4 linked regions of the Canis lupus familiaris genome follow. The protein of the gene in region 4 binds, or shares a complex with, the protein of the main gene of each other region. Links are inferred from orthologs where the notes say so. Each region holds a gene or a part of one and is shown on either strand. Other genes may lie near its edges. The genes, in order: TIMM10, TIMM22, AGK and TIMM10B.

What was found.
Region 1: the proteins of TIMM10B (region 4) and TIMM10 are in contact, whole or in part, in a cryo-EM structure (PDB 7CGP), measured with the Homo sapiens proteins. The link is inferred for Canis lupus familiaris from reciprocal best matches to the Homo sapiens genes TIMM10B and TIMM10. Residues at the interface, in NP_036324.1 of Homo sapiens: Gln7, Leu11, Leu14, Arg15, Phe17, Leu18, Leu19, Tyr21, Asn22, Arg23, Met24, Thr25, Glu26, Cys28, Phe29, Val33, Pro34, Ser35, Leu36, His37, His38, Arg39, Leu41, Glu46, Leu49, His50, Ala53, Gly54, Ile57, His61; in NP_036588.1 of Homo sapiens: Ala6, Leu9, Leu13, Glu16, Met17, Asp20, Met21, Arg24, Ala28, Lys32, Cys50, Asp52, Arg53, Cys54, Ser56, Lys57, Tyr58, Asp60, Ile61, His62, Glu63, Arg64, Met65, Gly66, Lys68, Leu69, Leu72, Asp76.
Region 2: TIMM10B (region 4) and TIMM22 share a complex: the UniProt entries of both Homo sapiens proteins name them as parts of the TIM22 complex. The link is inferred for Canis lupus familiaris from reciprocal best matches to the Homo sapiens genes TIMM10B and TIMM22.
Region 3: TIMM10B (region 4) and AGK share a complex: the UniProt entries of both Homo sapiens proteins name them as parts of the TIM22 complex. The link is inferred for Canis lupus familiaris from reciprocal best matches to the Homo sapiens genes TIMM10B and AGK.

Annotation. Positions count from the first base shown.
Region 1 is NC_049239.1:39,103,975-39,111,131, forward strand, and holds TIMM10 (mitochondrial import inner membrane translocase subunit Tim10), read left to right. Parts: upstream 1-2,943; 5' UTR 2,944-3,444; intron 3,445-3,857; 5' UTR 3,858-3,899; coding exon 3,900-3,970; intron 3,971-5,842; coding exon 5,843-6,044; 3' UTR 6,045-6,296; downstream 6,297-7,157.
Region 2 is NC_049230.1:44,795,433-44,802,870, reverse strand, and holds the start of TIMM22 (mitochondrial import inner membrane translocase subunit Tim22), read left to right. Parts: upstream 1-3,345; 5' UTR 3,346-3,667; coding exon 3,668-3,902; intron 3,903-6,174; coding exon 6,175-6,371; intron 6,372-7,438. Other genes in the region: thymosin beta-4, read right to left, coding at 1-44. UniProt on the Homo sapiens protein: Essential core component of the TIM22 complex, a complex that mediates the import and insertion of multi-pass transmembrane proteins into the mitochondrial inner membrane. In the TIM22 complex, it constitutes the voltage-activated and signal-gated channel.
Region 3 is NC_049237.1:7,417,466-7,424,824, reverse strand, and holds the start of AGK (acylglycerol kinase, mitochondrial), read left to right. Parts: upstream 1-2,408; 5' UTR 2,409-2,525; intron 2,526-2,765; exon of another isoform or gene 2,766-3,187; intron 3,188-3,713; exon of another isoform or gene 3,714-5,167; intron 5,168-5,288; 5' UTR 5,289-5,305; coding exon 5,306-5,406; intron 5,407-7,359. UniProt on the Homo sapiens protein: Lipid kinase that can phosphorylate both monoacylglycerol and diacylglycerol to form lysophosphatidic acid (LPA) and phosphatidic acid (PA), respectively. Does not phosphorylate sphingosine. Phosphorylates ceramide.
Region 4 is NC_049242.1:30,303,416-30,310,288, reverse strand, and holds TIMM10B (mitochondrial import inner membrane translocase subunit Tim10 B), read right to left. Parts: upstream 3,914-6,873; 5' UTR 3,819-3,913; coding exon 3,774-3,818; intron 3,599-3,773; coding exon 3,503-3,598; intron 3,362-3,502; coding exon 3,185-3,361; 3' UTR 2,097-3,184; downstream 1-2,096. Other genes in the region: ARFIP2 (arfaptin-2), read left to right, coding at 4,912-5,010, 5,267-5,363, 6,127-6,245, 6,429-6,650. UniProt on the Homo sapiens protein: Component of the TIM22 complex, a complex that mediates the import and insertion of multi-pass transmembrane proteins into the mitochondrial inner membrane.

The sequences.
Region 1 (7,157 bases), on a different chromosome or scaffold from region 4:
AAAACAGATGAAAATATGGCTAAATGTTAACTGTTAAAGTCTGGTGATGGGTATGTGGAAATTCAGTATACTGTGCTCTCCACTTTTCTGTATGTTTTTAATTTGCTCTAATAAAAGTCTAAAAATTAAAAGAATGAGAACAATGATTTCTTTTTATTGAGCATCTGCCATGGACTAGGGGCTTTTAGTGCATTTTTTATTTTTCATTTTTGTAAGGATTGTTTTAACTTTTTATTTTGACATAATTGTAGGATTACAGGAAGTTGCATAAATAGTACAGAGACAGTACTGAAGGTTAAATCTTACATAACTATATGCTATATCAAAGCCAAGATATTGACACTGGAACAATAGTGTATATAGTTCTATGACATCTTATCTCACATGTTTAGATTCATATAAACAGGGACCCCGGGGTGGCTCAGCAGTTTAGCACCTGCCTTCCGCCCAGGGCATGATCCTGGAGTCCCAGGATCGAGTCCACGTTGGGCTCCTTGCATGGAGCCTGCTTCTCCCTCTGCCTGTATCTCTGCCTCTCTCTCTTTCTCTGTGTCTCTCTCATGAGTAAATAAATGAAATCTTAAAAAAAAAAGAAAGATTCATATAAATATCTCCACAATCTGGGTGGATAACCATCCCATTGCCACAAAGATCTCCTTTGTTCTACCCCTTTATAGGCACACCTTCCTCCCTCTTCTCACCTGTATGGCTCTAACCCTTGGTAACCATTAATCTCTTTGTCTCTATAATTTTGTCATTTTGAGAATATTATTTAAATGGAATTATATAGTATGCTTTCGTAACACCTAATAAAAATCCTTTTTTTTTTCTAATAAAAATCCTATCGAGGAAACAGATTACACTTGTAAGAACTCGTTTTCCCATGCGATTTCTTTTTTCTTTTAAAGATTTCATTTATTTATTCACGAGAGGCAAGGTCATAGGCAGAGGGAGAAGCAGGCTCCTTGCAAGGAGTCCAACGTGGGACTCCATTCCAGGACCCTGGGATCATGCCCTGAGCTGAAGGCAAGCTCAACCGCTGAGCCACCCAGGTGTCCCTCCCATGCAATTATATTCCATAATATGTTGACTATATTATTAAAAGCAAAAACCACTACAACATGTGTCCACTAAAACATACATACAATAGTATTCACAGCAACATTGTCCTAACAGCCCCAAGCTGGAAACAACCCAAAAATCTATCAACAGTGAATGGATAAATTACCTGTGGCTCATTCATACAATCTAACATTAGACAGCAATAAAAAAGAATGAATAATGGTTACACACAACAATGTGGATGAAATCTTAGACGCTACATTGAGCTAAAGAAGTCAGGCACAAACCAGCAAATAGTGTATGACTCCATTTACCTGAAGTTCAAGAATAGGCAATAGAAGTCAGAATACTGGTTAACTTTGGGAGAGCCGGTATTGACTGGTCAGGAACATAAGATAACTTTTAAGGGTGTTGGAAATACATTGTATTTTGATCTGAGTGGTGCTTATGAGCATAAATATATATTTAAAAATTAAGCTTAAATTTTATGTATTTTAGTCATTTTCCTGTATAGATGTCATACCTTAATTTTATTGAAAAAAAATTTTTTTTAAGTAACCTCTACACCCAAGGTGGGGCTCAAATTCAGGAGGATGGCTGGGTGGGGGGTGGGGGGAGGTTTGGAATCAAGAGTTGAATACTCTACTGACTGAGCCAGCTAGGGGCCCCTGTTATACCTTAAATTTTTTTTAAAGTGTGTGTCTATGAATTGAGAAATATTTATTTTATTTATTTTTAGTTTTTAACTTTTTTATTTTTAAAGATTTTATTTATTTATTCATGAGAGACACAGAGAGAGGGGGGCAGAAAGAGGAAAGGCAGGGTCCATGCAAGGAGCCTGATGCGGGACTCCATCCCGGAATCTGGGATCAGGCCCTGAGCCAAAGGCAGATGCTCAACCACTGGGCCACCCAGGCGCCCCTATTTTATTATTTTTTTAATATTTTATTTATTTATTCATGAGAGACACACAGAGAGAAAGGCTCCATGCAGGGAGCCCTATGTGGGACTCCATCCGAGGTCTCCAGGATCACACCCTGGGCTGAAGGCGCCGCTAAACCGCTGAGCCACTGGGGCAGACCTATACCTTACTTTTTTTTTCTATACCTTAATTTTAAAAAAGATTTTATCTATTTGAGAGAGAACGCACGCGCTCAAATGTGCACGTGGGGAGAGGCAGAGGAGGGAGAGGGCGAGAATCTCAAGCCCATTCTGCACTGAGCTGGGGGCCAGGGCAGGGCTCTGTCTCATGACCCTGAACCGACCGAGCCACCCAGGCACCTCTAGCTTAATTTTCAAGGATTGGGGCACCGGGTTTGCGAAAGAGGAGTCCTTGGAGGAGACATGAGGGCTGAATTTAGGATCCTGACTTTCTTGGGCAGTGAGGGAAGCATACAGTGACCAGCCATACAGCGTCCGGCCCACCTCCTCCAATGGGCAGCGGACGCTTTGCATCTTGTACACTTTGTTTACTGGGAAATCCCTTGAGAAACAAAAGGATTGGGGGCGGGTTTCTGTGGTGTAGGGGTTCAGATGGAGCAACGCACGCACGGGGTCTGGAGAGAGCAGCTCACAGCCCCTTCCTCCTCCTCGCTCTGATGCACTAGGTTAGCCCCGGCGGCAGCCAACGTTGCTCTTGTTCATCTCTCTGGGCCGGGGCGTCTGGAAGTTGCGCGGACCCGGCTCGTCCTCCTGCGAGCCCGGAGACAGCTTAGCACCTGCGGGCCGCTGCGCTCCCTCCGTCCGGGGAGCTCTGGCTCGCAACCTCGGCTGCACCAAGAAACCGCCCGAGGTCAACTGAAACATTTACTGAAGTCTGCGTCCTGCTCCCAGAGGTTCTGATTTGCTTGGTATGAAGCGAGGCATGGGCATCGGGGCACTGGGAGCGGCCCGGGCGACCGTAACGAGCAGCACAGACACTACGGCCTTGGAGGGCGTCCTTCCTTCTCCGCGCCGCGCCGGGGTCTGTGACCCGCCGTCGAGCCTCGGGGGCTGCGGCCAAGCTTCGCGGAGCCCCGCCCTCCGGCGCCCGCCTACAGACAGTCGCACTGTGACCTCTCCGCCGAAACCCTGGGGACGGCACCGCCAGGCTGCAGGCGCTCTGCACTGCGCCCAAGCCTCTATGGTATTTTGGCGTCCCCTCTAGCCCTTGCAAGTCGCCTTCGGGCACGGCCGGCGGCTCCTCTCTATGGTAGCCGATTTCCCCGCGCCGCCTCGTAGGGGCTTCACTCCGGAAGCGAGTCCGATCAAAGGGGAGGCGGGACTTCCCTCCCGGAAGTGACCCACGTGCTTCCGCCTTAGCCTACCTGGGCGTGCGGCGGCTGTCTAGCGTTTGCGCGAAGTTGAGGACACCGCGGGCACAGTGACTGGCCCCAGGCCGTGGTAAGTGACCGCTCGCTTCAAGGTGACCCCGATGCACCTCGCCGCCACGTCAGAGGTGCAGCCCCTGGGCCGGGACCCGTGGACCTTTAGCACCGCGTGTGATCGAATTCCCAGGGCCCTGGAGGTTCAGGCCCCGCGGTTCAGTGTTCCTTTCCGGTCCCGAGATCTTTTCCTGGGTAGAGTGGCCACGAGGGGCTGGGGCGCCAGGGCTCGATTTCCAGCCCCTCCATTGACGTGCTGTGTTCCCCTTCCGGGCCTCAGTTTCCATATCTGTGAGATGGGATAGTTGAGCCCACTGAGGTCAGTGACCCCTGCCCGCCCGGTGTCCTATGATTGTTCCGCATCCTCTACGTCCCCCTGGGATGGGAAACGGAACGGGAGGGCTCGAAGCTGACGGTGATGTCCGCTCCCAGGACTAGGAGGCCAGGAGATCTTTCCCACGGCGCAGCGCTGAGATGGATCCGCTCAGGGCCCAGCAGCTGGCTGCCGAGCTGGAGGTGGAGATGATGGCCGATATGTACAACAGGTGAGAGCCGACAGCGCGCTCCTTGTCTTTGACAGTGATCCTAGGTCACCCTTCCTCAGGGCACCTGTCGGAGGGTGCGCACCCCCACCTACGCTCCTCGTGGCTGAGGGCCAATGCAGACGCGGTACGGGTCGCTAGAAGGAGTTGGACATCTAGGTTGGAATGCACTTGGCAAGCGAGAGAAGCCCCAGTCCAAGCTCTGGTTGGCTTTCAGGAACGGTTGAGCGTTTGCCTTTGTGGCAAACAGCACGCAGCCCGCTTGGTGGTTTACATTTCTTAAACTCTTACTCCACCTCGGGCACATGCTGAGCATTCTACGCGCCTTCATCTTTTGTGATCTTCAAAATGATCCACCGGGTCGGTCTTAGTTGTCCCATTCTAAGGTGAAGACATGGAGGCTTCTAGAGGTTAAATAACATTCACAGGGCTCACAGTTGGTCAGTAGCAATGTCAGGACCAGGACCTCGGTCTGACTCCAAACGAGTGCCCACAACCATTTGGCAGATGCGGGAACAAATCATAACTGCGCCAATCACCACTAGTGTGGCCGTGGGCAAGTCACTTGGACTGCTTAGTGGTTTTCCTGTCTATAAAATGGAGGTGGGGCACATGATGGTGCAGTTGGTTGAGCATCTGACTCTTGATTTCATTGCAGGTCGTGATCTCAGGGTCATGGGATTGAGCCTCACATTGGGCTCTGCACTCAGCAGGGAGCCTGCTTGACATTCTCCCTCTCCCTCTCCCCTGTTTGCCCACACACATGCCCGCGCAAGTGCTCGCTCTCTCTTTCTCAAATACATAATACTAGTTCTTTTTAAATAAATGAATAAATATTGCTTCTAATCCTTTTGGCTAAGATCAAGTGTAAAAAAATAAATAAATAAAATGGAGATAATAATGGTGCCTACCTCAAGGAGACATTATAGATGTTAAATGTAGAAATGTGTGACAAGGGGTGCCTGGGTGGCTTAGTCGGTTAAGTGTCTGCCTTCAGCTCAGGTTATGGTCCTGGGATCGAGCCCCACGTCCAGCTCCCTGCTCAGTGGGATGTCTGCTTCTCCATTTCCCTCTGCCCCTCTCGTTGCTTGTGCTCACTCTCTCTCTCTTAAATAAATAAATAAAATCTTTTTTTTTTAAAGATGTATTTATTTATTCATGAGAGACACAGAGAAAGAGACAGAGACACAGGCAGAGGGAGAAGCAGGCTCCTCGCAGGGAGCGTGATGACTCAATTTCAGATCCCCGGATCACAACCTGAGCCAAAGGCAGATGCCCAACCACTGAGCCACCCAGGCGTCCCATAGATAAATAAATTCTTAAAAAAAAGAAATGTATATAACAAGCTCTTATTGGGTTTGTATCATGCCCAGTACAAAGTAAGCAGTCCACATGTTTTCTGGTTTTATTGGCTTCAGCTCCATGGTATTTTCTCTTGATGGCTTATCTTGAAGGCTGTATATTAGAATACTTCCAAATATTTAAATAATTTAAAAATGCAGGCCATGAGGTCCTGTGGGTTCATATCCCAGCTTTACAGGATCCTGAGGCTCTCCATGCCTGCATTTCCTTATCTGTAAAATGGGGATAAAGATTGTGCCTGCCTCACAGGGTCATTGTAAGGACTGCATAACCAGCCATGTCAAGCACTTAGCATGATGCCTGGAACATACCCAGTAGTCAACTAATGGCTCCTGTTTAAATAAACTTGGGCTCAGATCAGGTGAGCACTCTCAAGGACCTTCTCAGTTAAGATGCGAACTGAGGATTTACACTGCCTTCCTGGGATGTGAAATTAGCAGGGCAGGCATGATGGAGAGTTCCTGGTTGCCTCAAGATGCTGCTGAGCTGACCTTGCCCTTCCTTCCCCTCCAGAATGACCAGTGCCTGCCACAGGAAGTGCGTGCCTCCCCACTACAAGGAAGCAGAACTGTCCAAGGGCGAGTCCGTGTGCCTGGACCGCTGTGTCTCCAAGTACCTGGACATCCATGAGCGGATGGGCAAAAAGTTGACAGAGTTGTCTATGCAGGATGAAGAGCTGATGAAGAGAGTGCAGCAGAGCTCTGGGCCCGTGTGAGGCCCCAGACAGTATACACCCCAAGGTGTGCCCTGCCCCTTCCCACTCGCCTAATAAAAGTGCCCCTATTGGGTGTCATCTGTGAAGACTCCCGGGCCTCGGCTCCCTCTGGAGAGCCTCCAGGAACCCAGAGTATGGTAGAGTTACTCTCCCCGGTTGGAGAAGGGGTATTTGTCACACTGTGATGTGACTGTGTATGTACGTGTATGTGTGTGTGTATATATTAAAACAGATTTGTTGACACCTACCACACGGAAAGCAGTCTGCCTGGCATTTGGGAGCAGGGGCAGCAGACACAGCCTCCACCAGCAGAGGGAGTCTAACGTGTTTAAAAGCACAGACTAGTGGGAAGTTTTAGGTTGTACTCCAGGTCAGCCACTTGCTGAACATGTCACTTCACTGTGCTTTAATTTTCTCATCTGTGAAAATGAGGATAATCATCTGGTGGTTGTGAAGATTAATGGTTTAATACGTTTATGGCATTTAGAATGCTAACTGGGACAAAGGAAGTGCTCAGTAAATACTAGCTGTGTACATGTGTTTAACAATTTAAAATTTAAGTGGAGTCAGGTGGGCAGTTTTCCAGATAATAAAGGAATATTTAGAGGAGCAAGTAACAGGAGATGGGATTTGAAAAGGAAGTAGCCAAGCCAGTCCCTGGATTCTAAATGGCAACATGAAACATACGAAGGGTTCAGCTTTGTGTGTGATGTGAGTGATCAGGAAGTAAGTGAAAACCACTGCCATTCACTGTTCACCTGAATCAGGGACTGCACTCCTCACTCTGCATGTGGTATCTGATCTAGCTCTTTCTACCATCTTTCTGGGCCGCAGTATTGGTGCATGTGAATGTCCTGGCAGATGTTCCACAAGAGCATTAACAATGCTGAAAAGAGGGCAGCCCAGGTGGCTCAGCGGTTTAGCGCCACCTTCAGCCCAGGGCGGAATCCTGGAGATCCAGGAGATCCAGGGTCGAGTCCCACATCAAGCTCCCTGCATGGAGCCTGCTTCTCCCTCTGCCTGAGTCTCTGCCTCTCTCTCTCTCTCTGTGTCTCTCATGAATAAATAAATAAAATCTTAAAAAAAAAAAATGCTGAAAAGAGGCAAATGCCA
Region 2 (7,438 bases), on a different chromosome or scaffold from region 4:
TTATCGAATTTCTCAATCTCAGCCATATCGGGTTTGTCAGACATGGTTGCAGAGGAAGCGGAGCGAGGCGCACGAGCGAGCTGGATAGAGAGGGATCCGGTCTGCGCTGTGGTCGCTGGCGAATAACTAATTCCTCTTTAACTGGGCACCCGGGTGGCTCAGTGGTTTAGCACCTGCCTTTGGCTCAGGTCATGATCCCTGGGTCCTGGGGTTGAGTCCTGCATCGGGCTTCCCGTGGGGAGCCTGCTTCTCCCTCTGCCTATGTCTCTGCCTCTTTCTCTGTGTCTCTCGTGAATAAATAGAAATTTTTTTTTTTTTAATTTTCCTCTTTAACTGTTCCCTGTTCTCTCTGGCCCACTGAGATGCTTCCCTGTTGCCTTGTGATCGGGACAGACAATGTGACGTGGGGAACCAAACTGTAACACGAGGCTGCTGGATTCCCAATGATGCCAGGGCCAGATAGAGTCCCCAGACTATTGGCAGAGGTTCAGCCCTGGGAAACAGACATGGGAAACCACTTTTCACTTTCAGAATATGCTTGGAGAGGTTCAAGTTTTCCATCAGAAAACTACCTATGGAAGGAAATTGGGTGAGTGGAGAGAGATACCAGATCAGTGTCTGTAATTGTTCTCTCTCCATCTATGATCCAGGCCAAGGATGTTCCATAAAAGGCTCCCTCATTCATGTACCTTGGCCACATGGAATTTCTTCACATGCTGACCTGGACCTCACCTGAACTCTAATGAAGACCCTTCATTTGGGGATTGATTATTACTCTCTAAGTAGTTCCATGGGTTAATTATTTAGACCATTCCTTGTTTTCCAAGGCCACCTTACCTGGGACTTGCCAAGGGTGGGTGGGGGGTGGCTGTCCCAGGTTCTCTCAGATCCAACTGTAGCTCTGAAGATCTTGGCATGGGGCATCTGAGTGGCTCAGTTGATTAAGCATCTGCCTTTGGCTCAGGTCATGATTCCAGGGTCCTGGGATCGAGCCCCTTATCAAGCTCTCTGCTCAGTGGGGAGCCTGCTTCTTCCTCTCCCTCTGCCTCTTGCTCTGCTACTTTTGCTCTCTATCAAATGAATAAACAAAATCTGAAAAAAGAAAAAAAGACTTCAGCATAAATCAGAGCTCTGGGCCCTTCATTCATCTGGAAGGAAAGGGTGGTTGCGAGGGCATGTTGAGTTAGAGGTGCTTATGGGAAGTGTCTGGTTCCTGTGTTTATGAGAAGGGTCTAAGCTGAAGATGAAGATTTGAGAGTCATTTTTTTTTTTTTTTTTTTTTTTAGATTTGAGAGTCATTAATGCAATTTGAGGTGGAGTAGAAGCCACGAAGATGAGTTGCTCAGGTAGAATGAGCTGCGGAGGAAGACGGTAAAGGATGAAGCCCTGAGAGGACCAACAAGAAAAGGCCACGCAGAGGTGCGTGCAAAGGAGATGGAGCATCTGGAGAGGCTGTAGCAGAACTAGGAAAGAGGGGCTCCACTAAAAATATGAAGAAACTTCAGACAAGAAGGGAGACAACAGTGTCAAATGCAGTACAGAAGTCTAGTAAAATCAGGCCTGAATTAGATTCAACAACTAGGGGACTCCTGGTGGCTCAGTCGTTTAAGTTTCTGCCTTCGGCTCAGGTCATGATCCCAGGGTCCTGAGATCGAGCCCTGCATTGGACTCCTTGCTCAGCAAGGAGTCTGCTTCTCCCTCTCTCTCTGCCTCTGTGTTCTCGCGCGCTCTCTCTCTCAAGTAAATAAATAAATCTTAAAATAAGAGATTCAACAACTGGGAAATCCCTGGGGACCCTCAGACCAGCCCACTCAATGGCTTGGTGGGAACAGAATCAGGGTGAAGCATGAGGTAGGAAAAGACATTAGGGTTCAAAGCCAAGGGTCGAGAAAGAATTCTTGAAATGTCTTTGGTGCAAAAAGGTGATTTTATGAAAGCACGGGGACAGGACCTGTGGGCAGAAAGAGCTGCTCTGGGGTCATGAGGAGCGGCCTGTTCATATACTTTAAGTTGGGAGGGCTTAGAGACACCTTAAGTCTCTAAGGAATTTTGGAAGCAGGGTTTCCAGGACCTTGATGGGGTAGCTATTGTTGGGAAAAGGCCATTTACTACTGTCTGATACAATAATGTCATGGGCCCCTTCAGATGAATATTGTTAGGTCATATGCTTGGGGGATGATCTCCAACATGTATCTTGGGGGGTTAGAGATAAAGAAAATTTCTAAAGGAATTTCTATATGTTAAAGTAGACTTACAGGATCCTAAGATTCCCTTCTGCCCTTAACAAAGTATCAACATGGAGGCATTGAGTCCCTAGAGGAATGTCACTCTGCCTGTTTCAAGGTCTTGTCACTGGGCTGTAGGGAGTAAGAAAATTTAGCAATTTTTCTTCTGCCTTTGTTTTCCACATCAAAGCATATGCTGTGCTGGGATGCACTGAGAACTTCGGGTACCAAAGAAATATCTCTGCCCACCTCAACTGGCTATGCTCACCACCTGTTTCCATTAAGGTTTCTCTTAGCTAAAACACTCAAATACATTGCTAGTCTGGACCAATGCAATAGTGTGGAATCTATTTTAGTAACATAAAAACTAGTGCAAAAGTTTTTCTGGATTCATGCATAGTACTACCTTACAGTTTACCTTCAGGTTCTGAGTCTGCAAGCTGGTGAGCACTTTAATTGGTTTCACATAATCTAAACCTGGCTTTCCAGGGCAATGCTAGTCCCACATCACCAATTCCACCGACAACAATAACTGGCTGGAGCGTGGGTAGGGGCCCCGGCCTTGCCCTCTCCACCTCCTTTTCTTTTTTTTAATTTTTTTTTTATTTATTTATGATAGTCAGAGAGAGAGAGAGAGAGAGAGAGAGAGAGAGAGGCAGAGACACAGGCAGAGGGAGAAGCAGGCTCCATGCACCGGGAGCCCGACATGGGATTCGATCCCGGGTCTCCAGGATCACGCCCTGGGCCAAAGGCAGGCGCTAAACCGCTGCACCACCCAGGGATCCCTCCACCTCCTTTTCTTACACTTAGCTAGCTTCGCTCATTAGTTCACTCATTTGTTGGGCCCCTTCTCTCTCCGCAAGGGTTTAATTGTCAAATAAAACATATATTGCATACACTTATACCAGGCTTTTACGTTTATTCACAAAGCACTTTCCACCATTTACCTCTCACCACCCCTGCGAGGAAGGAGTAGGCTGGAAGGGCAGCGGCGCGGTGCGTGCGCCCCCTGGCGAGGCTCCGGCGCGCTGCAGCCTCGCGGGGGCGCTCCTCCGCCCCCTCCCCGCAGTCGGGAGCTCCAGACGAGGCCCCGAGGCGCGCGCCCGCGCAGAGCCTCCTGGGAGATGCCTGGGCTATACAGATCGCGGTACCCCCCGCGCTGCCGCCCTGACGAAGAGGGCGCTTTCTGGTGACTCTGAATCTTGTTCATTAGGGCCGTTTGGATGCTGCACAAGCCTGACTCGGTATTGACAAGGGGCTTTTGGGGAACATGGTATCTCTTTCGCCGGAGGCACGAACGGACTTCGCTGGCGTCGTTTCTTGCACTTGCTCGTTGTGGCGAATCTGCCGTTGCGTCACGGGGGCTAGGCGCGCCCTAACGTGAAGCTTGCGGAATCTGCTGTGGGAAGAAGAACGCCAGGGTTTCTCGAGCATCTGCAGTCATGGCGACTACCCCCAGTACGGGGGCCTCCGCGCCGGAGGCAGCGGGTTCCGCCGAAGCCCCGCTGCAGTACAGCCTTCTTCTGCAGTACCTGGTGGGCGACAAGCGTCAGCCCCGGCTGCTGGAGCCCAGTAGTCTGGGCGGGATCCCGAGCCCGATCAAGAGTGAGGAACAGAAGATGATCGAGAAGGCGATGGAAAGCTGCGCCTTCAAGGCGGCGCTGGCCTGCGTGGGAGGTGAGGCAAGACTAGGGGGCCCGGTGGGAGGCTGAGGGCTTGCACGGCAGCGGGGTCCTCTGCCAAGAAGACCACGGCCTGGGAGGCGAGGAGCCTGTGGACCTCGCTCCTGACTGCACCCCTGCCTGGATCCGTGAGCTCGGGTGACCCCTCTCTAGGCCCTGAGGTTCTTTTTCGCCCCTGGAAATTGGGTCAGAGAATCGGTACCATATGGGTTGGGGCCTAAAGGTTATAAAATGCCTGCCTTCATTCGTTGGTTCGCTTTTAAATAAGCATTCTTTATTTTTTTTTTTAAGATTTTATTTATTTATTCATGAGAGACACAGAGAAAGAGGCAGAGGGAGAAGCAGGCTCCATGCAGGGAGCCCGATGTGGGACTCGATCCCGGAACTCTGGGATCATGCCCTGAGCTAAAGGCAGACGCTCAACTGCTAAGCCACCCAGGCGTCCCTAAATAAGCATTCTTTCAACGAGTTGTTAAAAGTAACCGTCACGTGCTCAGGGGTGGAGGGACAGGGTTAGAGACCAGAGCCAGGTTCTCATGAAGCTCACATTTTAATATATATATATATATATATATATATATATATATATATATATATATATATATATATATATATAGAAACAAGAATGTTGGGAAGGAGCCAGGCAGGAAAGTGGAACATGGGGGAGCAGCAACTGCCAAGGTCCGGTAGGAGCTGGCTTCCTGTTTGAAAAACAAAGGACAGGGGTACCTCTGTGGTTCAGCAGGTTAAGCATCTGCCATCAGGTCGGGTCATGACTCCAGGGACCTGGGATCCACCCCGCCTTGGGGCTCCCTGCTCAGCGGGGAGTCTGCTCTCTCCCTCTCCCTCTCCCTCGGCCCCTCCCCCAGCTAGTGCTCTCTCCCTAGCTCGCTCTCAAATAAATAAATAAAATCTTAAAAAGAAAAAGAAAACAAAGGCCAGTGTGGACAGTGTGATTAGATGGTGGGAAACAAGGGGGAAAGACTCCCCCCCCACACACACTTTTTTTTTTTTTTTAGACCTTTTGAAAAAGGATTTGAGAGTGTATGGTGTCCCTCCTGTAAAGAGGTTGGCCACATTTGCAGATGAGTTGAAATCTCATGAGAATGAAAGACAAGAAACAAATACAGTGGGAGTGCAGGTATGTAGTAGAAAGAGAGCAGTATTTTTATGGTTTGGGGAAGGCTACAAGAGGTGAGACTGCAGCTGTATCTTGAAGGATTGAGAGAATGGGGGTAAAGAGGAGGAGAAATGCCCTTTCAAGTTGGAGGTGGAGTTGGGGCTTTGGGCTTTTTTGTCTTTAGGCATTAGAGCAGTAATTGATGCACATGATGACCCAGCATAGAGTGTGGTGAAGAAAGAAAGTGTGGGTGGGAAGACGGCATAGGGAATTTGCAAAACTGAGGTGCAGTGCAGCCTGGCCTTGGTGTTTGTTCATCATTATGTCCGACCCTACTACATCACTTACATATTTGTTAAAATGATGAATAAGTCTTTGTAATGCTCTAGAGTGGGAGTGATACAGGCCTTAGACTAGGATGATAACTGTGAACATAGGGTTGTAGGGGAAAGCAAAGAACCGGTCAGAAATGCCCTTCAGCTTTGGAGTTGGAGTGCCTGGAAAGAAGGAAGAAAGTCTGGAGGGAAGGTGCCCATGACTTCATTAAACATATTTTGACCTTGGGGTGATGAGAGGACATCTATATAGAAGTGTCTAGCAGGCTCAGAAAGATGGGGACAGCAGTGTATGGTTGCTATTTGGTAGCTTTGTGACCTTAGGAAAGTTACTTAACCTCCCTGAGCCTCAGCCGATTCAGCTGTAGAATGGAAAGGGTAATAGTATCTACCTCACGAGACTATTGTGAAGAATAAAAGGAGCTGTGACTATAAAGCATCAGAGTGATTGGAGCATGGTACTCACTAAATGATAGTTATGAATGTCACCATTGTCAAGGGAGTGATTTGCAAAGTTGAGAGTTGAATGTATGAGTACAGACAGAACAGAAGGTTAAAGATCGAATCTTCAGGAATGTTAGAAAATGAAAAGAGGAAGAAATCAAAGACTGAGAAGAAGATGTCAACAAGATAGTTTACGGCTTGTGTGATGTGCAACCAGATAACTGGAGAGTTTGGTAAGATGGAGTAGGGGCGGTAGGTAGGGGGTGTCCTCTTTGCTGGTAGCCAGCCAAATGTGCAATTCGAGTATGACCTCATTACAGTAACCCAGAAAACATGCCAAAGAAGTCTTCATCTGTGTGTCTTTTTAGGATTTGTCTTGGGAGGTGCCTTTGGAGTGTTCACTGCTGGCATTGATACCAATGTGGGCTTTGACCCTAAGGATCCTTACCGTACACCGACAGCAAAAGAAGTTCTGAAAGACATGGGACAGAGAGGAATGTCTTACGCCAAAAATTTTGCCATTGTGGGCGCCATGTTTTCTTGCACCGAGTGTTTGGTAGAATCTGTAAGTGTCTCTGCCTTCTGAGAAAGACTTGTACCATCTTATGACTTCTAAAGAGCGCTATTAATTAGAAAGCAGAGCAGAAATGTCTGATACTTGCTAGATTGAATTTTCATTGAATAGTTCTGAATGTAAACTTTTTGTGCATTTATTGCATTTACTTGGGCTTGCATTGTTTTTTACGTTTCTTTGTAGGCTAGAATTTGGTTAATGATTTATTTTTTAAATTTTGTAAAATTCTAGTTAACATACAGTGTAATATTAGTTTCAGGCATACAATATAGTGATTTCCACACTTCCTTTTTAAAATTTTTTTTATTTTTTTATTTTTATTTTTTTTCACTTCCTTTTTTTTTTAAAGGTTTTATTTATTTATTCATGAGAGACACACAGAGGCAGAGGGAGAAGCAAGCTCCATGCAGGGAGCCCGATGTGGAACTTGATCCCGATATCCCGGGACTGCGGGATCACATCCTGAGCCAAAGGCAGACGCCCAACTGCTGAGCCATCCAGGTGTCTGATTCCACACTTCCATACAACACCTGGTGCTCATCACAAGTGCGCTCCTTAATCCCTATCACCTATTTCACCCATCCCCCACCCCCTCCCCTTCTGGTCACCATCGGTTTGTTCTCTGTAGTTGAGTTTGTTTCTTGGCTTGCCCTTTTCTCTCTTTTTTTCCCTTTGCCTATTTGTTTTTGTTTCTTAAATTCCACATGAGTGAAATCATATGGTATTTGTTTTTCTCTGACTTATTTTGCTTAGCATAATACTCCCTAGCTCCATCCATGACATTGCAAATGGCAAAATTCTTTTTATAGCTGAGTAATATTCAAGTGTGTGTGTGTGTGTGTGTGTGTGTGTGTAAACATCACATCTTTACCCATTTGTCAATAGATGGACACTTGTCCTGTTTTCATAATTTGGCTATTGTAGATAATGCTGCTATAAATATCGGGATGCATGTTTCCCTTTGAAGTAGTATTTGTATTCTTTGGGTAAATACCTAGCAGTCTGCTGGATTGTACAGTAGAGCTTTTTTTTCTTTTAAGATTTTATTTTTAACTACT
Region 3 (7,359 bases), on a different chromosome or scaffold from region 4:
TCCAGAAGGGTGTGACATTGGTGAAGATGGCTCACTGCATTGGGTGCTGTCCCCAAGGGGGCTGACAGCTGAAGGTCTGACCACCCCCAGCAGCTGGGACAACAGGTGGTGCATCACCATGTCCAACACTCAGCGCTGGTAAGGATGTCTGAAAAGAGCATTTGAAAAGTTTCTGTGTTTTAGCGTCATTTGTGTCCTTACACATTTATAAACTACATGTTTAAGATTTGGCTTTCACTATAATCCCACATAGAGTGGGAGTGAGGGGGTGGGAGATTAAGTTCTACAAAGCATGGACAATCCTTAGTTAACTTGTTTATCACTGTGTCCCTCTGGAAATGATTCAAGGGGACAGTTGTTAGCTTAACCAAAGGGCCAACAATAGCCTTACTACAGGGAAAATATTAATGGCATGAGTCATAAAACTAAATGGGATACTAGGGCAACACATTAAAATGTCAGTAAATACGTGTCATGTAATGGGTACAGTTAACTCCTTGAAGATGAATTTATGACTAATTTATGACTTAGTCCTATTTTGATGCAGATATTTCCCATTTGCAGGTGACATATCTGAGTCATAGTTCCCCCGTTTCTATCTATACAAGCATGCGATTTAAGGAGAGAACACAAGGTCTCTTTCAGAGACCTGCCATGCCCCTCCCCGCCTTTTGCACATGTAATTCTGAAGTTTTTATTCTGTGGAGATGTCTCATCTTTTCTAGTTTCATAGTCCAGGTAGAAACTTGGGAGTTGTTTCCAGATTTTTCTCCTGGGAACACAACAGGCTGACATCAACGTCCCCATTCACCACAGTGAATTAAAGGCTTCATGATAAAGAAAGAATGTAAGCTAATGGATATTCCCATGGCCCCCCTGAGCACTTTTCAATGAGGGATGGTCCTGAGTGAGGCCTGCTATGCTATGCAGCTCTGTGTTCTCCCTCCCATGGAGGGGCTGCCTCTCTCCTGGGGTGTCGTTTTCTCCCAGGTGGATTGACCTGCTGCCCTTCTTCACAGGCCTTCTGGGCACCTGCTTTGTGATGCCTGATGTTTCCAACTGTCCATGGCTCCAACTCAAATAAAATCAAGTTCTCCTCTCCTAAGTTTTAAGAGAAAACTTTTGGGCAGCCTGGGCGGCTCAGTGGTTTAGCGCCTGCCTTCAGCCCAGGGCCTGATCCTGGAGACCCGGGATGGAGTCCACGTCAGGCCCCCTGCATGGAGCCTGCTTCCCCCTCTGCCTGTGTCTGTGTCTCTGCCTCTCTCTCTCATGAATAAATAAATAAAATAAAATAAAATAAAAAGAGAGAGAGAGAGAGAAAATTTCTCTTTAGATTTTCTGGTTGGGAAGTTATGGTACGTTCGTTCATCCGAAGAGAACGTTTCTCATTTTTGGAAACCACTGTTTTGCGGAAGCCCTAAAGCTTAGTCTGCCCATTGGGCCATCCGGCGCGAAGTCTTCAGATTTTTCTAGCCTTACAGGGATGCAGTTCGGCAACTCATTTTCAAGAGCACATGTCCTAAATAGCTGGGAGAAGAGAAGTGGCAAGAACTGTCTCCCATACCTTTAGTATCACAACATTTTATAGCTAGAAGATGTGTTTTACGATGATCTTCTTAGCGCCTACTTTACAGACAGAGGAGAGAGGGCTGCAAGTTCCCATGACCTAGGGTGGCCCAGTGAGGATTGGAACCTGGTAGGGTAGGGTGGGCCCTACCGCACTATACCCGCTGGATGTTGCGGTGCTTCCTAAGACAAGCATGTAGGGGAAGCCAGGGAGGACGCACGTTTACCTGGAGCAAACGGGGAAGGCAGGAACCACGCGGGGTTCCACGCGGCAGCGCCCCGCACTCATCAAAGTTGTTTGGAGGAATGATGGGGAAGGAGGGAGGTAGGAAGGAGGTAGGAGGGCAGCCTGGACGGGCTGGCGTGGTGCCAAGGCTAACGCGGGGGTGCGGGACTCGAACTGCCGTCGGCCCCGGCTCCTCCGCGCGGCCGGAGAGCGATGCTGGCAAGTACGGCAGGTGCCGTCACCCCCGGGCTCCCCCCGCACGCGCCCCGGGCCGCTCGGTGTCCCGTGCAGGCCGCCCTCCGCCCTCCGCCGCCCGGGGCGCACCTGCCGGCGCGGCACCTGCTCCCCCTCCCATCAGCCCCCCCCCCCCCCCCCCCCGGCGGGGCCAACGCGGGCGCCCGCTGTCCGACAGCTCGGGGCGGGGGGCGGGGGGCGGGTTGTGTTTTGTTCTGTCGTTTCCTCCTGCACGTGCCCGGCTCCGTGGTTTTCCGACACCGCCGGGTCCCGAGACACCGCCCTCCCCGAAACTCCGCGGGCGCCGGGCGGGGCGGCGGGCGGCGGGCGCCGGAGAAGGGGCGGCCCCCGGCGGGCTCCCGCGCAGCACGGTCCGCGGGCGGGCGGGCGGGCGGGCGCAGCGGAACCCGAGGGCGGCGGCGCCGCGGTTTCCCTTAAAGGCGCGGGGGAAGCGTGAGGGAGCACACAGGAAGCCGGGGCGGCGAGCGGGAGCGGCCGGGTGAGCGGCGCGGGGCCGGGGCCGGGGCCGGGGCGAGCGGCGGGGCCCGCGGGAGGCCTCTGGGGGGTGGGGCGGAGCGGCGGGGGCGCCCCCGGGGCCGGAGGATGGGGGCGGGGCGGCGGGGGGCCTCCCCCGGGGCCGGGGGTGCGGCCGGGGCTGCCTCAGAGCGGGGGGCGGGGCGGAGCGGAGCGGCGGGAGCCGCCCCTGGGGTCGGGGTGGGGGCGGGGCCGGGGTCCCGGGGGTCCCCCTGGGAGTCAGCTGGCCTGGGAGCTGGGCCCCGAGCCGTCGCTGCCCTGGGCGACTCCCCCGCCCCCTGTCCCCTCTGGGCCTTTCCGGGCGGTTTGGTGGATGGGTCGGTTCATTCATTCCTGGTGCTTTACCTGGTTGTGTTTGCTGGAGGCGCCTGCCCACCAGAAATTGGGAGGGTTTTTTTTTTTTTTTAAATATTTTGTTTATTTATTCATGAGAGGCAGAGAGGCAGAGACCCAGGCAGAGGGCGAAGCAGGCTCCACGCAGGGAGCCCGACGCGGGACTCGATCCCGGGTCCCCAGGGTCACGCCCTGGGCCGAAGGCACGTGCTCGACCCCTGAGCCACCCGGAGGCCCCAGACGCGAGATGTTCATTTGAACGCATCACATTCAGATCTTACCCGAGATTGAGGAGTAAGAATACTGCTGGGTACTTAGAGGAAGTATGCACCGCTGGTTAATAGAGTGCACATTGCCGTGACAACTTAGATACAGATGAGATCTTTTTATCCAGATCACTTAATCAGAGCAGGTGTTGTATCCTCATTTTACTATCGAGTAACGTGGGTTCACAGCCCCAGCAGGTGTGATTTTTGCAGCCAGCTGAGTTGATCAGAGCAGATGCCGTCTTCCCATTTTACGAACAGGGAAAGGGAGGTGGAGGCCGAATGACTTACCCAGGTTCTCACCGCCTGGAAGTGAGAGAGCTGCCCTGGCATCTAGGCCTCAGGATCCTCGCACCGCTGCTCATTCCGCTATACTCGCTTGCCTGCGAAAAAAGTGTTTCCACATTTTTGTGAATGAAGCACTGTTCTGTAACAAAAAAGGAGTTCCATTGGCTCGTGGATGGCCTGTAAACAGACTTTTTTTTTTTTTTATCAACTCTCAGGTTGTTCTCTAACAGTATTGGCATACCCCCCGCCCCCCCCCCCATCCTTGCCTCCGGTGGTTTTTGGACCTCCTCCACACGGACAAGGCCCAGATCTCTATCTCCCACCCAATTTCTCCTAGCTTCAAACTGCTAAATCCAGACTGGTCATTTGGATAGCCACTTGGGTATCCTGCAGGCATCTCAAATCCACCATCTTCTCAACTGCACACACTACCCTTCTCCACAAACCCGCGGTCCAAATCTAATGATTGAAATCCTCGCCCAAGTGCAAACCTGGCTGGTTTCTCCTCTCACCTCCTACAAGTGAGGAAGTGAGGTTTATAGTCAAGGAACAGGGTAGTGATCAGTGGATAGAAAATTAAGTTTGATGAAGAGTGGACAGTCATGGAGGAATATGCTAGGTTGAGTATGAGGAAAACGGGAAACCTAGCAAGGCCTGTAAGGATTCTTCTTGGCATCCCCGTGTCTCCAGAGATGATGATCCCTTCTGGGTTTAAGGAGGGCAACCTCATAAGTGAGGGTTTTAGGACTTATTTCAGGAAAGAAGGGTCAGGTGGGGAGGTCAGAGTGACCTTTCATTGGTCACTCTGACCATTGTCACTCATTGACAATGAGTCAATGATTGGTGGTCACTCATTGTCTCAGACTCCTTTAGCTTAAAATATTCAATATGCAAAAAAAATTAAATTAAAAAAATAAAATATTCAGTATGCTAAGTTGCCATATTTTGGGGTGGTGTGTCCTGAACCCCATGACATTCAGCAGTTAGCACTGAATGGGTTGTGGGAGCTAGATCTTATTTTAGGAATGGGGATACAGCAGTGACCAGAACAAAGTCCTTACTCTTGTGGAGTTTACAGTCCTAGTGGGATAAGCTAATAAATGAGCAAATAAGGATCATCAAATGGTAAAAGCTGTGAAGAAAACAAACAGAATAAGGATATATATTGTCACTTGGTTTTTTAATAAAGTTGTGTGAACTTCCTTTGCTTACAGCAGTGCATGAGTGTGTCTATCTCATTTTGTCATCAGTGAATATGATCATTTAAAAAATTTTGGTTTTAGAGGTGAACAGTGCTAATTCTTTGTGATTTGCATGTCTTTGATTACCTAGAAAGTTGAACATTTTCACACAGTTGTATTCGCCCTTTGAATTTCCTGTGCGTGTTCTCCGCTTATTTTCCTATTTTGGGGCTAGTGTCTTCCTCTATTTTGAATAAGCCTTCTATGGTACTTATTTATTGTTGAGGCCTTTGTATATAGTAGACAAATACTCTTAAAACAGTGGTAGAGTGACTAGGGAGGGAGAAAATGCAGGAAGCCTGGAATTCCCTTCTCTGCTCTTCTCCGCTTGCTTCTGATACGGTGAGACACAGGTGAGCAGAGAGGCAAGAAGTGAGTTTAGGTAGAAAGAAGTGAAGAAAGAAGAAAGGCAGGTGGGCAGTGAGAAGATGAAGTTGATGAGCCTACAAGGGAGCAGACGGGAAGAGGCCGGAGGTGTGGTAAGGAGGAACAGACGTGAGGGAAGGAGAGCAGAGAGGATGGGCGGATGGAAGGCACTCGGCGCTCTACACGGTGAGCTTAGGTACTTACCTTTTTCTTTTTCTGCCTCTGTGAACCTAGCAAATCTTTAGGAGAAGATGACGGTGTTCTTTAAAACACTTAGAAATCACTGGAAGAAAACGACAGCTGGGATCTGCCTGCTGACATGGGGAGGCCATTGGCTGTATGGAAAACACTGGTAAATACATAATATTCCCCACCCCGCCTTCACCTCCAACACCAAAACCACCTAAAGGGGCCTGAGGTCAAATCTTGCTCGACTGAGCTCTTTCTTCTCTGTAAAACATCATGGCGTAAAAGATAAATATATGTTAAAAGCACAAAGACAAAGGCTTCTTGTTGTAACCAGTCCTGGAAAATTGTACTAGCAGAGCCATCAACTCTGGATGATAGTAGTGAGATCGGAAGCTGAAGAAAGGGAGAGAAGTCAACTCCCAAGTTTTGAGTAGAAGGGTTTGAACTCCCCTGTCTCCTTGGGATTTTATAAAATTCCTTCAGTTTCTTAACTATGATCTGTTATCACTGTTGTGTTAGACCCTGACTGATTCTGCTAGCTCCAGCCCCTGTGACTTTCCACATTTATCCCATTAGCCTGGGTGAATTTAAATGAGACTAAGACATTCACACCTTTTGTTTGAATACGGAATTCAGCAGTCCTGGGTTTTATTAGTCTCCAGGCCTGAGAGCAGAAGAAAGTGCCCGAGCTCCCCTCTGGTTTAACATGGTAATAAGATTTAAAGAAAATTTTTGTATAAAAAATTATATAAATAATAGAGCCAATTAAATTGTCGTCTTTTGGGGATTAAGGGTTACAGCTTAAGTATTTAAGGACACTGCAGTCCAGGTGCCTTAAATGACTGCTTTGTTAAGCAGAAGACAGCTTTTGTAAAGGTAGTCAGTAGAAAGGAAATTCATATTGATATTTTTGTAAACTGTCTCCATTTGCCTTTGCCTCAGTCAGGATAATCTTAGGATGCAACATGGTGTCTAGTTTTTTGTAGCTGTAGATTAAAGGTAACATATCCCTCCTTTCCCCCTAAGTATTCTCAAGGCTCAGTGCTTGAATTCCATTAGCTGGCATGTAAAGAACAGACCTGAGAAGCTTAAAATTTGTATTATATTAAAAAAAAAAAGATGGAGGAAATGTTTTGACAAATGCAATATGAAACATATAACGTGTGCCCTTTGTCCCTCTTCTAACTACCCTAGAGTCCTTACACCTCCTGCCACGATGGGAACTAGGATTCCCTCTGCAGGAACACCCAGTCCAGGCCCCCGCTAATGCAAGCAGGAGGACCCTCCCACACCCTGAGAGTCAGTGCTGTTTCTGCTACTAGGCGAAGATTTGAGGAAATAACCATGTACCCTGTTCAGGATGTCTCGTGCATACCCTCATAATTTCTTGCCAGTGTCGTCTTGAGACTTGAAAAACAGCCCACTCGTTCTGAATTAGATCTGAGAGATCTTGAACAGAAATGCAGTAAGCCTGGAGGCCTCATTTTGCTCTCTCTCCACCCTTAATGTTCAAGGGTGCATTCACAATGCAAACTCTTATTGTCCTGTTGCTCTTCCTTTTCTCAAACTTTTCTCCTGTATTCTGTAGTACCGTATGGCCTTTTTGTTTTAAAATCATAGTGGAAAACACATAACATAAAATTTGTCACCTTAGCCATTTTTAAGTGTACAGCCAGTATGTTAAGCGTATTCACGTTGTTGTGCAGCAGAGCTCTAGGATTTTTTCATCTTACAAAACTGAAACTCTATACCCATTAAACATAACTCCCCATTTCCTCTCCCCGCCCCCAGCCACCACCATTCTACTTTTTGTTTCTGTTGGTTTCACTACGTTGGGTACCTCGGATAAGTGGCATCATACAGTATTTTGTCTTCTGTGACTGGCTTATTTCATTTAGCATGATCTTAAAGATCATTAATGGTGTAGCACATGGCAGGATTTCCTTCTTTTTAAAGGCTGAATACTAATCTGATATATGCATGTATATAACCACATTTTCTCTATCCATTCATTGTCAATGAACATTTGGGTTGCTTCCACCTCTTGGCTCTTGTGAATAATGCTACTACAGTGAATTTAGGTGTGCGGATATATCTTCTAGATCCTGTTTTCAGT
Region 4 (6,873 bases):
TGTCTCTGCCTCTCCCTCTCTGTATCTCTCATAATAAATAAATAAAATCTTAAAAAAAAAAAAAATTCTTGTGTCATGCTTGAAACATCACACTGCTTTCATTACGCCAATGGACGTCACTTTATGATGAGACCTGAGGAAGATGTCAGTGACTACAGGAGATAGGTAGCAACAGTAGAGTTCTTCTACGTACTGAACGTATTTATAAACAGAGAGGGAAGAAGAGGTTAAAAACTTAAGGGATTAATTGATGGATACTTGTTTTTTCATCCCTAGGGACAGGCTGGGTGCACATGAGCAAACAAATATAAATTCTGGAAATTCAAAGAACATAGCCTCTAGAGTCAAGACAGATCTTTCTCAGCCCTGCTCCAGCAAGTAGTAATTATGTGACATGGAAACAGATGATTCGCAATGGAAATTTACTGCAAGGATACACGCAAATGTCCACGGAAGAGTCCTCCCACCAGCAGCACAGTATTCAAGGTCTCCATTCCTGTCTTGGAACTGGTTAAGTTCACAAGCTGCTTTAGCTGAAGTTTTACGTTCCAAGGAGAAAATTTTAATGAGTAGACACAAACCCATTCAGTAGGGAATTTCCTGGTCAGCAGCTTGTACATTCCTAGCAACCATCTGTTGAAGATATAGGAACTAAAGAGATGAAAAGCCATTTGGAGCAACTTTTCTCAAGAGGTAACTACGTAAACATGGGGCTCTGATACATTCTGGATTCTTGCTTCCTCATCCATTAAGTGGGGAATAATATCTCTTACTTGTAGTTTTGCTATAGATTAAAATAGGGATGCCTGGGTGACTCAGTGGTTGAGCATTTGCCTTCAGCTCAGGGTGTGACCCCAGGGTCCTGGGATCGAGTCCTGCAGCAGCCTAGGGAGCCTGCTTCTCTTCTGTCTCTACATCTCTCATGAATAAATAAAATCTAAAAAAAAAAAAAAAAAAAGGCTGAGATAAAGCAGGACATATACCAGCACTGGAACCCATACAAATCAGATGGCTCAATGGTATTTTGAGAGGCAGCCTGGTGTAATAAAAAGTACATGGATTTTATTTTTTTAAAAAAGATTATTTATTTATTTATTTACTTATTTATTTATTTATTTATTCATGAGAGACAAAGAGAGAGAGAGGCAGAGACACAGGCAGAGGGAGAAGCAGGCTCCACGCAGGGAGCCTGACACAGGACTCGATCCTCAGTCTCCAGGATCACGCCCTGGACTGAAGGTGGCACTAAACCACTGAGCCCCTGGGGCTGCCCAGAAGTGCATGGATTTTAAAGCCAGATCTGTATCTGTATCTTAAAAAGATATTAATATCTTAATATTAAGATACAGATTAATATCTTAATCTGTATCTTAATAAAGTCTGCTACTAGAGAATTTCAACTTCCTGATCCACATAGGGGAAAAAATGTCTGCTTTGTGGGTAGTTGTAAGGAGTTTTATGGGAGCCAATGTCTAAGAGCTTCCATTTCCTCCGTAAAAAATGAAACATGGTCCCCTGATGGAGGATAGCTGAACGTGAAATGGGGGATAAGAGCAGTGAAGGTGTAAACTAACTGCCTTGGTGATTAGGAGACAAAAATATACCAGGAAGCCACAAAGGGTTGCTTGTTGGTTGACGCTGGAGACCTTGAATGGTTAGTGCCACTCATTACACAGCTGTGTTTTTGTCTAGCAGTCTGAACAGAAGAACAGTAAAGGTAAAACAGCTGGAATGATACAAAAAGGACACAAGGGAGGCAAGAAAATGCGGTGATGGGGTGATAGGCCATTTAGAATGGTGGCACAAGTAAATTTTATGAGGGCAATAAATGAGAGAAAGATAGAGAGGCTCAGCATGGAAATAACAAAACCGGGACAATGAAAACAATGATGGGTAGAGGACAGAAGAGCTGGAATTAGATTATAGACTTGGAGGTAACGATAAAGAGGTCCCAAGGATTTGTTTTATCTTTTTCCCCATAACCATCATCATCTATTTCTCCCCTGAGCTTTTGTTCCTTGGGTCTGGCTATATTGTAGAATATGGTCCTCCAAGTTCCCCCTTTCTGACTGCTCCTGAAGACAAGCACACAGACCTTCTTTGTGTAAAAGCTTTACTGCTCATCCTGGGGAAGACAGAAAATAATAAGAAAATAACAACTTGGGAAAATGGCTGAAGTTCCAGAACACCCCGAAATCTTACAGGTTTCATTTCAGTTACGGGGCTACTGACTTTCCAGAAGGCACTGCATACAAAAACCCTGTGATTTCTTGATCTGTTATTCTTAGGTATCTCCTCCTTCCCCTAAATTTAGGAGAATTCTTTAGAGCCCATGAAAAGAGTTATAAATGAATGCACACCCAGCTCACAAATAAACCATTAAGTCAGATTTAAGTGAAGGACAACAAGAAGAGCTCTTATTTTCTCTGCCATCTGGGCAGGAACCAACTTCCTATTGCTATTACTAACATTAAAATCGTACCACAGGGGTGCCTGGGTGCAGTTGGTTAAGTGTCTGTCTTTGGCTCAAGTCATAATCCCAGGGCCCTGGGATCAAGCCCCGCATCTGGCTCCCTGCTAGGCCCGGAGTCTGCTTCTCTCTCTGCCCCTCCCCCTGCTCATTCTCTCTCTCTCTCTCACATAAATAAATAAACAAAATCTTTAAAAAAAAGAAAGAATTAAGTAAGATGCACCTGGGTGGCTCAGCCATTGAGCGTCTGCTTTTGGCTCAGGGTAGGATCCTGGGGTTCTGGGATCAAGTCCGGCATCGGGCTCCCCACAGGGAGCCTCTGCTTCTCCCTCTGCCTATGTCTCTGCCGCTCTCTGTGTGTCTCGTGAATAAATAAACTCTTTACAAAAGAAAAAATTGTACCCACAGGCCTTGTTTTAACCAGGTGCCAGGAAATGTTGAGGTTTTCCTTCTACACATAGAAGCCAATTTCTCCACTGCCAGGGCTGAAGCCAACAGATATGCGCTGACAGGATAAAGGATGGGGCCAATAAAGCGGGCAAAGCTTCCGTGCCCAGAACATAAATCAAACAGTGCAAAAGTGGGTTTATTGGCTCCAAGAAAAGGAGCAATACTACCCAGCTGTCAGACAACCCCTCACTCTATATATGGGCTGCATCCAGCCCAAGGTCCACTGGCTCCTTCAGTTTGAGGGTCCATCCAGCGCCTCCCTTCCTAGCTGCCTGATGGTGAGGTTCCGGGCTGTTCTGCAGCAACACCTGGCCCAGCTGAGGCAGCCTCGTAGTCTGCGATGCGGCGCTGTACCAGAGCCGGCATGAGCTGCACGTAAGCGGCCATGAGGCGGTGGTTGGAATGGATCAGCTTCCCAGCACAGCTGTGCAGACAGGCCTCCTGGAAGGAAGACAGGGTGAAGCATTGGTGTCCACTGGTGTCCGTCCCATCCCTGGCCCAGGGGCAAGGGTCATGGAAAGGCCCGGGCCAGAGGTAGGGGCGGTGGAGGTTGGGGACAGTCTACGGCGAACCCCACCTAACCTCTTCAGCGTCCAGAGCTCGGTGGTGCAAGCTGGGCACGCAGCGCTGGAAGCAGAGTTCCGTCATCCGATTGTAGACCAACAGGAAGTCCCGCAACTAGGAGAGAAGGGGACAAAGAGCCCAGCGATAAGGGGGCACCTCGAGGCCGCGCCCTCGAGGTTTCCCAGGACGGCGCGCCAGAGCGCGACGTTCCCAACCCTCCGCCCTCCAGCCAAACGGACGAAGATGCCAGCTGAACTGATGGCCCCGTCGCGACTTAGCACCCACTCACGTTCCTCAGCTGCTGCTGCTGCTGCTGCTGCTGCTGCGGCTCCATCGCGCCACCGGCGCACGCACGTCACTTCCGCACAGCCTCTTGGTAACGCCCCGGAAGTGACCTCTCCTGGCTCCCCGGGGACTGAGGGGTTGCCTCAAGGATCGCCCCGCCCCTGGCTTTAACGTCATCTCCGCCCTTATAGTCTGCGACGTGGCCGGCTTCTTCTGCCCGGGAGGGGACGTCACTTCCGCCGAGTCCCTGACCTGCTGCTAGGATCGCGACGGGAACTGGAGCCCGAGGTCCCCGCGCGGCCCGGGCCTGGCGCCCTGAGGGGAAGAGCGGCCCGGCCCGAGGTGAGAAGGACATACTTGGGCAAGGGGAAGTTGAATGCACGAGCCTGCCCCGAGGGAAAGATGCTACAGAGCCCTGGGGAAGGATGAGGACACACCTGATGCCCAGGTGTGGGGTGGGGGGGGGGCGGGGACTAACACACCTGGGGGACATAACTGACTTTGGAAGGGATCACTATGTGCTGGGAAAATGTGGCTTTTCCCAGAGGCCAAGAACGGACACCAACTGATTCAACTAGGGCCTGCAGGGGGAGGGCTGCAGGAGGAGGGGGTGCATGGGATGGAGGAGGGAGAGACCACCTGAAGGAAAGGGGAAGCAACCCTAAGGGAGTGTGAGAGGCCAAGCAATGGAGAACATACCAGAGCGGGAGGAGTAGGCTCCTGAGCCCTGGAAAGGGGTTAATCTGATGGGAGGAAACAGCTGCATGGGGGTAAGTTCCAAAACAGCACAGACTTTCTCTCCCTTGGCCACTGCTGTGACCTCAAATAGTAGTCTGTTGAATGGTTGAACGCATGAGTGATCACCTGAGTCCTGGTGGGGTTGGGGGTCCGTGAGAAGATACTGGGGACCTGGGTGTGCATGTGGAAAGATACACACCCTGGAGGGGAGAAATACATATCTACGAGAAGAAAGGAGTGGTGGCCGAACCCCAGGATACTCAAGTCTTGGGACAACCTCTAAAATCTCTGAAATGGTGGGGGAGACTTTTCTTTCGGGAGTACTGGCTAGTTTCCAGAACTGTCTGTGTTGGGCTTTGCAGGGCGCTGGGGTGGAGACTTTGACTCCAATCCCTTCCCTAGCCATGACGGACGGGATCCTAGGGAAGGCAGCCACAATGGAGATCCCCATCCACGGGAACGGTGAAGCCGGGCAGCTTCCTGAGGATGATGGGCTGGAGCAGGTGCTTCTGTTTGATTCTTCTCCATATTGTTTCAATTTAGGAGTCCAAAATCATAAGCCCTGGGCTCTCACCCCATTCCAGGAGTTTTCCCCTAACTTATCTAACTCCCTCCAATCTTTACATATCTTCATTCTGATTCTATGCAGACTTCCCTTGTGTGCTCTCTCTGTGATGCTTCAATCCAAGCTTGTTCTCACCCCCCAAATGCTTCAGCTGCCCCAATGTTCCTGAAGCCCCCCTCTTCTCTGGCCTATAGGACCTCCAGCAGGTGATGGTGTCAGGACCCAACCTCAATGAAACCAGCATTGTGTCTGGTGGCTATGGGGGCTCTGGTGATGGACTCATCCCCACAGGTATGAATGATCAGAACAGGACAGGAAGCTTGAATGGACAGAGGGAGTGGAATGGTTCTGGGGAGTATAGGATATGCCTAAGATAGCTTGAACTATGTCTGGAGATTTTGGGAACTCTTGCTAGTACAAGCCCAATGGACTCTACTCAGCCCAAGGCTAGAGCCTAGGGCTGTCCAACTGCTCCCGCTTGCCATTTAGCCCTGAGATGTGTCCATTTGTCCTTTCTTTGCTGCCACCACCTGAATCACATTACGAACTGTTTTGCAGAAGTTCTCCTGCTTTGGAGCTTGAGACTTATTTGGAACTCTGAAGCTTCTCAAAGTTTTGCTTCAGATTCTCAAGTTTAGAGAAGCAAATAGCCCTGAATTTCACACTGACTAGGATTCCACATGAGAACGTCAATGAGATTTCCTATTGTCAGGAACCCACCATCCTTGACCTGCCACCCAATACTCAGCATATTTTCTTCTGTTTTCTCTGCCCCTGTACATCAGCAACTCCCTCCCTCCCCCCACTCCAGCCCCCATCACCATCTCAGGAGGAGGCCAGATATATATTGGGATTTGGGTTTCAGGGCACAAGGTATGAGTTCTTCCTAGTGAGTAGGAGAATTTCTAGTTTCTGCTACTTCAGAGAAGTCATTTTCATGGTGGGAAGTCGGTGGAAAGTCATTTCATAGTGGGGTCGGTGGGAAGTATGGGTGGAGCCACAGAGATGTCTGGTTATATCAGAGAGGCTGGTGTCAAAGAACTTGGTTCTTTAGGGTCTGGCCGCCATCCATCTCACAGTACCACTCCTGCTGGCCCGGGAGATGAGGTGGCTCGGGGCATCGCTGGAGAAAAGTTTGACATCGTCAAGAAATGGGGCATCAACACATATAAGGTGGGATTTAAGCACCTTTCCCTTTCCCCTTCCCCAGACTTCCCCTGGGTACCTTTTCCCCATCTTCCAGATTCCACTCTCCCATCCTTGTCTGAGACGAGGAGCCTTGGGATGCTAGGGTAGATACCTGTTGGGGGGGCAGGGTGCTAGGGTCTCTGACCTATTCCCCCACTTCCCAATCAGTGCACAAAGCAGCTGTTATCAGAGCGATTTGGCCGAGGCTCCCGGACTGTGGACCTGGAGCTAGAGCTGCAGATTGAGTTGCTGCGTGAGACGAAGCGCAAGTATGAGAGTGTCCTGCAGCTGGGCCGGGCACTGACAGCCCACCTCTACAGCCTGCTGCAGACCCAGCATGCACTAGGTGACGCCTTTGCTGACCTCAGCCAGAAGTCCCCAGAGCTTCAGGTGCCTTGGTCAGGCCAAAGAGGGTGGGGGGACTGGGCCCGGGCCCTCCCAGGCAGTCAGCCCTCAGCCTCCCTCCCTCCCTCCTGCAGCCCAGAGGGAGAACCCCTCCAGGGTAGGCCCAGCCCTACCCCCAGCAGCACTCACCTGTGGAGGCAGCCTAAGGGTTTGTACAGAGGTTCAGAAGTTGGAGGGGTGGGGGAGGCGGCACACTAGATGCCTCACA